Drosophila melanogaster: one gene and its partner. The protein of the gene in region 2 purifies or fractionates together with the protein of the main gene of each other region. This does not show direct contact. Each region holds a gene or a part of one and is shown on either strand. Other genes may lie near its edges.

Evidence for each region. The genes of interacting proteins can lie anywhere in the genome.
Region 1: the proteins of CG5597 (region 2) and nrm purify together in Drosophila melanogaster (affinity purification with western blotting; one large-scale study listed by BioGRID). This does not show direct contact.

What each region holds. Positions count from the first base shown.
Region 1 is NT_037436.4:22,996,787-23,002,119, forward strand, and holds the start of nrm (neuromusculin), read left to right. Parts: upstream 1-1,585; 5' UTR 1,586-1,980; intron 1,981-5,266; 5' UTR 5,267-5,333.
Region 2 is NT_033778.4:23,884,487-23,889,958, reverse strand, and holds CG5597 (uncharacterized protein), read right to left. Parts: upstream 2,987-5,472; 5' UTR 2,882-2,986; coding exon 2,833-2,881; intron 2,086-2,832; coding exon 1,895-2,085; intron 1,835-1,894; coding exon 1,557-1,834; intron 1,479-1,556; coding exon 1,214-1,478; 3' UTR 1,182-1,213; downstream 1-1,181. Other genes in the region: DCP1 (decapping protein 1), read left to right, coding at 1-885.

The DNA.
Region 1 (5,333 bases), on a different chromosome or scaffold from region 2:
ACTGACGGGACATTAGTTCGACTCATAAATAAAACAACAATTTTACTATATGTATGTAAAAGTTTAGACTGTCGTACCAAGGCATAAATTAAAAACAGGAAAGGTAGCTGGTCACCAGTATTTATTATTAAAAAAAACACGTACACATGCATGTGTACTAATTGTACTTAATGATCAAACCCAACGAAACAAAAATTTCTTTTCTTGTACTCTCAATTAATTTGTTCGAGTCTTCTTATCGTAATAAAGCAGAATATAAATGTTGTACAAATCGTTATCCAAAACTCAACCAAAAAGATGCTTTAATACTTTAAAATTTACTTATTTGTAGCAGCTTTCCGCATAGTTTAAAAAAAAAGTGTTAAACTCTGGTTACTTATGTTAAGCTACTTTGCATATCTTCTCTGCATTATCTTCTCTTCTCCAAAAGGTTGATTTAAAACTCAAATTCATTTGCGTAAATGAAAAAAAATGAAATGAAAAGACGGGCATGGTTCGATGGTTGAACCGACCAAGAATATATATTCTTTGTTTGCTTGCAAATGTCTCATTAAATATGTAGACATATTTTAAAGACTTTTATAGTGCACCACAATTACGGAAATCATAGCTATAATCAAATTTAGTAAATTAAATACAAAAAAAGAAATGTTTCATTATTGTTATTCATAAAAAGGTTTATGCGCATGTTTTTTGGTTGGACTCATATTAGGCGTGGTCAAAGCTTGAAACAAAATTGCACTCTAAATTAGATTTTTTATTATAGGCTTGTTAAATTCAGCCTGGATAGGCTGAATTGTTCAAAAGTGTGGGAGTGATCGTTTTGCCATGCCCACTCTAACCGCCCAAAACTGCCACGCCCAAATTTTGTAAAATTTTTCGAAATTTTTACATAATCTTGTTAGTCTTGTAAGTTTCCATCGGTTTGCCAAAAAACTAACTTTAGCCACACCCACTCTAACGCCCCAAAGCTACCATTTTTTTCTCATTTTATTTCCCAATATCGATATCCCAGAAAAATGATGAAATTTCTGCTTTGCATTCTATCTATCTGAGTAACGGGTACCTGAAAGTCGGGGAACTCGATTATAGCATTCTCTCTTATTTTTGTTTAAAATTTGCGTGTCCCTTGTTCATTGAGAAAGATGTACATATGTACATACTTGTGTCCTCTTCAATTTGCAGTAATTTTCTATGCTCATCCTTCAACAGTAATTGAAAAGCTTTATCTCAGCGATCTTCTATAAAAACATACGAACTCCAATAGAAAATGCTTTTTAGTCTCACTCACCTCACGCAATTCACATAGTAATCTTAACTTAATACATACATATATATTACTGTACAGTCGTGGGAATTGGCAACTTCATAATTAGCGTCGAATTCACAGCCGTGAAGACGTCTGTCAAAACCGGCTAGCATGCGGCTGACGCATTTGTCCCAAACACTTGTTTAAAACACCAGCAGCTGCAAGGAAGCCGACGCCAATTTAGGGGTTGTTTCCCTACGTCGTAGTCAGTTGGTTCTCTTAGCCATTTGTCTCTTTGCCGTTGGCTGACGACTTGCCGCCTTCAAGTTTGTTTCAGTTTCAATTTGACCGTCGAATGCAGAGAACGTCGGTACACCGCTCTTGCTATTGCTATCGGCCAGCTAAAACAAAAACGACCTGAAGCCATAAAAACGCGTGTGAATGAGAGGCCAACGAAATATCCATAGCATAAGTGAACAGTGAGCCAGTGAGCGCTTTAAATAGAAAACGCGAAATAGTCAACTCGATGGAACGCAAGTGTAGGAAATAAATCGCCGTCTAGATTATTATAGCAAAATTGCCAAAATAACCACTTGTGAGCCAAAGTGACACAATGTGAAGAGCAAACGAAAATATAAAAATAAATTAAAAAACAAATAAATAAATGCAATAGGGTTAACTTAAACATCACAGGGGAAGGATTATCAAAGGCCCTGATCCAAAATAAAACGGTATAACCTAAATATCATAATCATGCATACCATAATACAAACTACTAGGTTATGTGCTTGCAACAAGTAGTAAGCGCCCAAAAAAAATGTAATAATTTGTCCGAGAAATAATATTGGAAAGCACTTTTAAATGAGCAAGCGCTCAAATATTGGTTGCAAAAATATATAAAATCTTTTATACCTATATGTATATTTATATATAAGAGTGGATATACGCGAACTTTTGTGCACACATATAGAAATTTTCGTACATTGAGTGTACGCGCACAAATACATACATATTTACACATGTGTGTGTGCATACATACATCTATACAGCAGTGCCGGCAGAAAAGAGTCGGGCTAAAAGAAATTATATCACTGCCCGAATCCGTTTTTAGAAATAGTTTGCAATGAATTTTCGTTGCTTTATATTGTCGATGTATAAATGCACATATATCTTTACGTATATATTAAACAACATACATATGTACATATGGAAGAAGCCAGCTAATATAAAAGCGCACACATGGCGTTTAAGTAAAAGAGACTAAAACTATATTTTTAAAACTCATGGGCTAATAAGGTTAGCAGTGTTTCTTAAACCTTAACAAGGACATTGATTTTTTACTTATTATCAAGCCGAGCAACGATTTTAATACTTTGAAGCCTATTAGATTAAAATTTAATATTTAAACGAAACAATTATTTAAAAACAAAATTTAAAACAATCGGTTACCTAACAGAATACAAATTTTTTAAGGATAGGCTTAATGTGTCAATAAATTCTTACTGTTATCCGAATGAACAGAGGGAAATTCAATACAAACTTTTGGTGAAATACGAAAGTACGTTGTGCTTTTAGGACGGCCTATTTACCAAAACATATGACTTGCCATTGGTTAAAGTCACATTCTTCCCTTAAATGGCTTATCTATCACTTCAATACTACATTTGTTAAACCGGTTAATCGTAGAGTAAAAGATTCTACTAGATTCGTTGAGATGCATGTAACAAGCAGATGGAAGTCTTTTCGACCCTCCAAATGATATATATTCTTGATCAGTATCACTAACCAAATGGACCTAGTTAAGTCAGTACCTAGAAGATAAGAACTGATATAAAGCATGCAGATTCTAGAGACGGATGAAATTGTTTGTTTGGGAGGCTTGCGACGCTGCGCAAGTTTCCGTCTAATTGTTACCACGCCCACTCTAACGACCAAAGCCGACCAAAACTGTAACGCCCAAACTTTTGATAATGTTTTAATATTTTTCCATTTTTGTATACGTTTTATAAATTTCCAACGATATGCCAACAAAATTTTGCCAGGCCCACTCTAACGCCTACAAACCACCCAAAACTGCCACGCCCACACTTTTGAACAATTTTTATTTCATTATTTTTTTTCACATTTTCTATCACTATTGCAAACAAACTTTAAATTTTTCGTTCAAGCTGCGAGTTGAATTACGGGTATCTGTTAGTTGGGTCTATTGTCTTTGTCAAATTTGATCGATATTGCACATATCCTGTTCCACCCATAATAATGGCGTTCTCTTTTTGAATTATTCGTATAGCAGCTAAATGAGATAGTGTTTCGATCCGACCCTTTTCGATTTATATACTATCTGCCAAAGAAAAAAAGGTTTATGGATATCGATACTATTTATCATAGCAAATATACGTGACCAAAATGTTGTGGCTAATCAATAGCAAGACAAAAAGAAAACACAACAACAACTTTTTAAAATCTTTCGACGTGGCAGTGGTGGGCGTTAGAGCTTTCTAGCTTTTATAATTCCTGAAATCTCGACGTTCATACGGACGGACAGGCAGGTGGACGCACAGACGGATGGACATTGTCAGAACCACTCGGCTAATGGACCTTGATTTAGAATAATTGTACTAAATATAAGCCGAAATTTTTCCGTTTGCCTGTTATATACATATACTTTTCAACCTCCTCTAGGGTAGTGTATAGCTGAAACGCCATAATCAAGTCTCTCGACTATTAGATGCCTTCCCTTAGCAAAAGAGAATGCGAAATAGATTGATATATTCTAGTTGGAAAGGAACTGTCCTAGACTGGACAGGTGCACAGCAGCGGTTGCATTTATTGCTTTCGACTTTAAATACAAACTTCTGAAGTAAGGGGTTATTCGGACAATTTGAGTATATGATGATTTAAACAGCTCAAAGAAAGCTGGGTTCGGAAAAATCGAATTTTTGAAATTTAAAAGCTGGAATCGTTTGCCCATGTTTGCCCACCAATTAGTTTTTTTTGCCCACGTCCAGTTTTTGAGATATGAATTTTCGAAAAAACTGTTCTTTGTAAGAAACTTTGCTTTTGGCGCCACAACTTATAGTTATTACATACATATACAACTTTAGTTTTAATAGGTGAAAAATCGAAAAAACCATTATTAAGGGGTGGGCAATCAAAATTATTTATTTTTAAGGGTGGGTAAACGAAAAAAAAACAAATTTTAAAGGGTGGGTAAACGAAATAATTTATTTTTAAAGGGTGGGTAAACGTTAAAAACTGATTTTAAAGGATGGGCAATCGAAATTATTTAGTCTTAAGAGTGGGCAAACGTTAAAAACAAATTTTAAATGGTGGGCAAGCGAAATAATTTATTTTTAAAGTGTGGACAAACGTTTTTATTGCAAATTTTTATTTTAAAGAGGTGGGCTAACGAAATTGGTTATATTTTAAGTGTTGGCAATCGAAAAAAATTTAAAAATTAAAAAAAAATTTTTGAAAAAAGTGAAATTTTTGATTTTCGAATATTTTTGCACTTTTGGAAAATTCATATTTCAAAAACTGGACGTGGGCAAAAAATACTAATTGGTGGGCAAACATGGGCAGAAAATGGACAAACGATTCCAGCTTTTAAATTTCAAAAATTCGATTTTTCCGAACCCAGCTTCTTTGAGCTGATTTAAACATGTTTACTTCCATGTCTCTATAGGGGTTTGTATTTTGTGGCGTCACATACAATAGATCGAATAATTATCAAAAGTATGAGAGTTGCAATCCTCTCAGTAAATCTTGCGCTTTGTAATTGTCACTAAAATCTGTTCGCTTAGTCTAAACTTTATAGTTCATATAAAGTTCCCGATATCTCGAAGTTCCTACGGACACACAATAACATTTATGCTATCTTGTTTACTTACTACAATATTTATGTATCTATCTAACCAGTCGTGGTACTCTACTATATCGATATTTTTTTTCTTATATAAGCAAATGTAACGTACCAAAAACTACTACTAACACTATTTCTTCTTCCTTTTTTTTCAGAATTAAAAAAAAAACGATTGTTTATTATTTATGGTAAAATAATACACCGTAGTAATTTTTCAAGAAC
Region 2 (5,472 bases):
CCCATCACCGGCAGCCTGGAGCTGCAGTCGCAGCCGCCGTTCCTGCTCTACCGCAACGAGCGCTCGCGCATCCGCGGCTTCTGGTTCTACAACAGCGAGGAGTGCGACCGCATCAGCGGCTTGGTGAACGGGCTGCTCAAGTCCAAGGATCAGGGAACGAATGGCCAGGCCCAGCGTCACGTCTCCGCGCCCCAGCAGCCAAAGCAGGACAGCAGCCAGCCGGCCAGCATATTCAACATGCTGACCAAGGCCCAGAAGGACTACAATGCCCAGGTGAGCGGCGGGCAGCCGAAGACGCCTTCGGCGGAGAACGTAACGGCCGGCAATGTGTTGAAGTTCTTCGAATCGGCCAAGCAGGCCACGGCAGAGTCACTGTTCCACCGCGTCCAGCCGCTCTCCGTGGACCAGCTGGAGAAACAGCAGCGGGCAGCCACGCCTGGCGAGGATCTGTTGCCCCCGGCAGGCAGGGACAATCACGAGAGCCGGCTGTCGCCCTTCCAGAAGATGCAGCAGCTTAACATTCAGCTCCTGAGCGACCTGAAGATCGGTAAAAGCTACGCTACGGCTCAATCTCCGACAGTCGCCCCGTCCTCGTCGGCGCTGATGGCCAACGACGATGCCGGCAAGTGCTTGCGGAGACTGCTGGCTGGCGACAAGCCCGGGCCGGCCCTCATGCCGCCCACCATGTTCGACGCGCCCAACAACGGCAATCCGGAGCCACAGCAGCCACAGCAGCCACAGCAGCCACTGCTGAACTCGACGCAGTTCGTCCAGGCCTTCACGTACCTTATCCAGAACGATAAGGAGTTTGCCAACAAGCTGCACAAGGCCTACCTGAACGGCTGTTCCAATCTACTGCTGGACTCCAGCTCCACATATCAATAAACAGAAATATTCAACATTTCCGAATTGCAGCCCATATTTTCATTTGTTCGCATGGAGTTCGAGTTCAAGCCGAGTTAATTTACAAAATGTAATAGCTGTAAGCCGACAAGGGCAGTCGTAGATTTAAAATCTAGAAGCCCCGCCGGAGAAGGACGGCATCCATTTCCAGAGCAACCTTAAGAGTTAACTAACGTAGTTGGTTTTGTGAAGTATTCGTATTTATTTACAAAATGGTTAACTAGGCCGAAGGGGCGTAGAAAAGGTAGTTGAATGGCAAACAGAATTCAATAAACATTAATTTAGTAACAATAAATAACAACGCTTTTATTTAGGCCAATACCTTCAGCTTGCAGAGCAGGTAGTACAGAAAACAAAACAGCCACAGGCTGAAGTCGACGTGGCTCCTGCCCGCCGCCGCGGACGTGGCCACCGTGGTCAGGTTCTTGCCGTATCCCTCGAAGGACACCACGCACTGGTAGGCATCGGGATCGTCGTCGGTGTCGTAGGCCGCCACCACGGCGCTGCCATCGAAGTATCCCTCCTCGTTCTCGTACACCATGGGCTCCCGCTTCACCACGTCCATGTCGTTGGATCTGTAATAGGAGCGGAGTTGAGTTGGGACGTTGTTTACTACAAGGCTGTCTTACGACAAGGCAGGCGCTCGTCCTTACATTATCGTGATGGTGGGCCTGGGATACACGTTCGTCACGGTGCAGTTCAGCTGCGTCTCATTGTGGATCGTCTTGTGGGACAGCTCCAGGGTGTAGTTCCTCAGGTCTATGACCTGAACCCTCTGGTGGCTGGAGAAGGTGTTCAGCGAGGTCTGCACCACGCACTTGTAGTCGCCGGTGGTGGCGATCGTGGGGTTGATCAAAGCCAGCGAGCTGTACTGCTTGCTCGGCTCCGTGGAGCTCTCATAGGTGCTGTCAATCTCGTTCCTGAACTCGGGCTATCAAGGAGGGGAAAGCGGTTAGTATCTTAAGCGCACCACACCGTTTGGTTCACTCACGATGGCATATGGAGGTGTTCCGAAGATCCACTGGTATATGGACTTGTCGTCTCTGTACCATTTGACGGTGATGAACTTCGGGCTCTCCTCCACCTCGTAGTCGCAGTCCAGGATCGTGGGCTCCATCTCCTCGTTCTGAAGGACTATAATCTTGTCCTCGGACTCATCCCTCGTGGGATAGCATAGCGCATCTGGGGGAGAGCGAATATTACTGATTAGAACGCAGAATTCAGAAACGAAACGAAAAGCTTTTAGCACGACGAGGTCTCGAAATTACAGAACACGCGCGGTATTATTTGGAATATATGTACATATGCAGCACAGGCAAATCCAAAACACATTGTACACAAAAATCTATATAATTTGGCGAAAGCGTATATTTACGAGAAGCGAAAACGCGATGAGCGGATGCCTGTTTCGTTTTAAAAATAGACACTAATAACAAACAAAAGCTAGAAAATTGAACATTTTTCATTCGGCAGTTTGTCATCATGTGTGCCAAAATTCTGAAAACTCTGTTCAATTTTATTAGGTTCCTTTCGCTGGAATCTTTTGCTTTCCACTTAGCATCTATTGCTCCGACTTCAAAACCACTGGCGCTTTTTCCACATTGAAAAACATATAGTTTCGAACACGAATAATTGCACGTAAAATCCTTCAGCCCGTTCAAATCCACAAATTAAAGGATAATCGAATCTGCACATATTGTTTATATATTGTTTATATATTGTTTATATTCCGTTTTAGCACATGTTAACTCAGAACCGAATGTGGATATACGTTCGTATTTATAGATATCCGATTTGTCATTATTTTTCTCAAGGTTTGCGCATTCGAAATTCGTTTATATGCGCCTTCCGAATGATTTCATTTCTTAATTTAAAAATCGCGTTTCCCATATCGGTTGCTGGCTGGATCGCCACAGGATCTGGCTGTACCTCTGTGGAGCAGTCCGATGGCCAGAATGGCGATCAGCAGGGTATCCATAACGGTCACTATCCTATCTACACTTCCACTTCCACTCGTATGCCAGACTTCTCAACCGATCCTAACTCAGCGGTCCGCTCGGCATGGTACAACTAAGGCAACTAAATGCTCTTGGCCGCCAGAGAACCGAAAACTGAAAACCGAGAAATGAGGAACGAGAGCTCTTGGCCAAGACCACGCAGCGTAACCAAACGAATTCGAATTTAGCCGAGATAATGCCGGCACTTCCTCTCCGGCACACGATCCTCCTACCCTAACCCTCCTCCTCCTCGCATAGCCCGTGCCACTTGACTTGTGCGCGACTCTCGGAGCACAAGCACGATCTTTGCATGGACATGTGGGGAGATCGCTCCGCAGCTGGCCAGGCACCACCACCAACCAAGTCGCCCTGCATGTGTGGGGGTTGGACACAACCTTTCCGCTTCGATACTCTCCGCTGCTCCTAGCTGCCGTTGACTATTTGAAAACCAGTTGGCCGCCCAGCTGAGGCGCACTCCTACAACTAGGGATAGTCGAGGGTAACATGCAAGACCGTTAAAGGACAGGGGGTGTCGAGCGTAGTCCTTAAGGACCTTTTCTTCTTCTCGACCGAAGTTAAGGGCTGTTGTAACGATTGGCGTTAATAATATGCTGTCTCCATGGCAATAGGGATCATTAACATTCCTGTAATTCTGTTGAAATTCCGATAGAAGGCATTTTTAAGTCGAATTTCTCGAATTTGTTTACAATTGAATAAATCTTAGGGTATTAGCCGTTCAGTTACTCATAGGTTTAAGTATATCCATATGCTTGAGTTTTTGTAAAGACTTAGTTAGTCGTTCCAACTCGGTGATTAGCAAAAGAAAAAGCCTTCACTATACCAAGTTAGTGTGTAAGTGCAACACACACCTATGCATGATAAACCCTTTTTCTTTACTTTATGTTTTCCAAACTAACGTTAGTTGTTTTCAGAATGACTCAATAGAACCTGATACTTGTTCGATGCATGTAGTTCCAGGCTCATTTGCACCCACAACTAGGTTGAAACCTACTTAAACTAGCTTCCCATTTAGATGCTCTATAACTAAATAATATGTTGCTGTTTTTACAGGATTTTCGGGGTGGGTTTGAGATCGGGTTAAGCAAACAATGCAGGTGGGTTTCGTTCAGGTCGATCACCTCCAACATCTGGTTACTATACTATTTATTAAATGTAAAATGAGTTCATATCTTTGCGTTTGATACAATTACAATTGGAAAGGTTATAATTTTACACATATATTGGATATATTTTAACCTAAAATGTAACACAGTAACTTATTCCAAAACTTTCGGAATGTCGTAATGTTGTATTATTATGATTGCCATAACAATTCTCCGATTTACATAGACTTGCGATTTAAGTAATGATTACTACAAAGTAGAGTTTCTTTTTGCACGAGTGTTAGTTTGAGCATGATGTGCATCTATTAGGTGGCTTTGTTTTCCTAGAGACTTAGTCGTTCCAATTCGTTGATTAAGAAAAGAAAAGGCTCACTCTACCATGCAAATGTGTAAAATCCACAAAGGCAACTAAGACCATTTTTCAACTGGAAAAAGAGGCACATTCTAAACTTTTACCTCGTATGTTTGACTAAACTGATCCCAATGAAATTGTTTCCGAAGATAGATACATTGAATTTGGAACTGTTTTTCTTTGAAAATTTAACTAAATGGCTTCAGCACATGGAACAACCAGCCTATCCTATTAGCAATCCAGCATTAGGGTGTCCAAAAAAAAAAGGACTTCAGCGCAGAGTAAATAAAAATTAGGCAGGACTCTGATTAGCAGGAATTAACTAATCGAAATAATCCGCAGAGCAAATAATTGTTTCCGAAAACAGGGGTTGTATCCTGCCAGTGACTTTAAACAATGTTTCAATCAGCCCAATGTTATAAACAAGAAAAGATAGTAAGGTGTCTCTTATCCATTGTGTGCGGTACAACACCATTTGTTTTATCAAGTTGGCGAAGTGCTGTACTCGTGATGACGGACTGTCCGATACCCTTTCCATTTCATATATGAAGTTTAAATATATTTTATAATTTATGTTACTTTGGCTGTTCCTTAAGAGTTATTGCAACGTAAAGAGGATTTTCATTTTTCTTACTTTTTATATTATCCCAGAGAAGCATTTCCTTTAATCGCTCAGACAGGACATCCCAGCGTCATGGTTGCCCGATAAGCCAATTTAATCTTCTGAGTGTTGCTTTTTGAGGCCTGTGAAAATTGGTGCACTCAAAGAAAAGTTCGCTTAAAGATGGAGCTTGGAAAATATTCAGATTTTGAAGAAATATTCATTGAAAAGAAGATTTCTGAGTGAAGATTAGATCAGAGCCAACAGACAGCGATGCAATCAATGAAATTAAAACCAAAACCAATTCTTTAGACATGCTGTGACAAGTCAATTGGGGAAATGCGGTGAATTTTCGCGCAGTGCACGACACGCGCCGGAAAGTCAGATTTCCACCCCTATGTCGAGTGGAGCTCGTTAGGACCGCCTCCAAACGCGGAAACGAATGAAATTTTCCGTCCCGCTCTCCCGAGACAAGTGCAGCATCCTTGTTCGTCC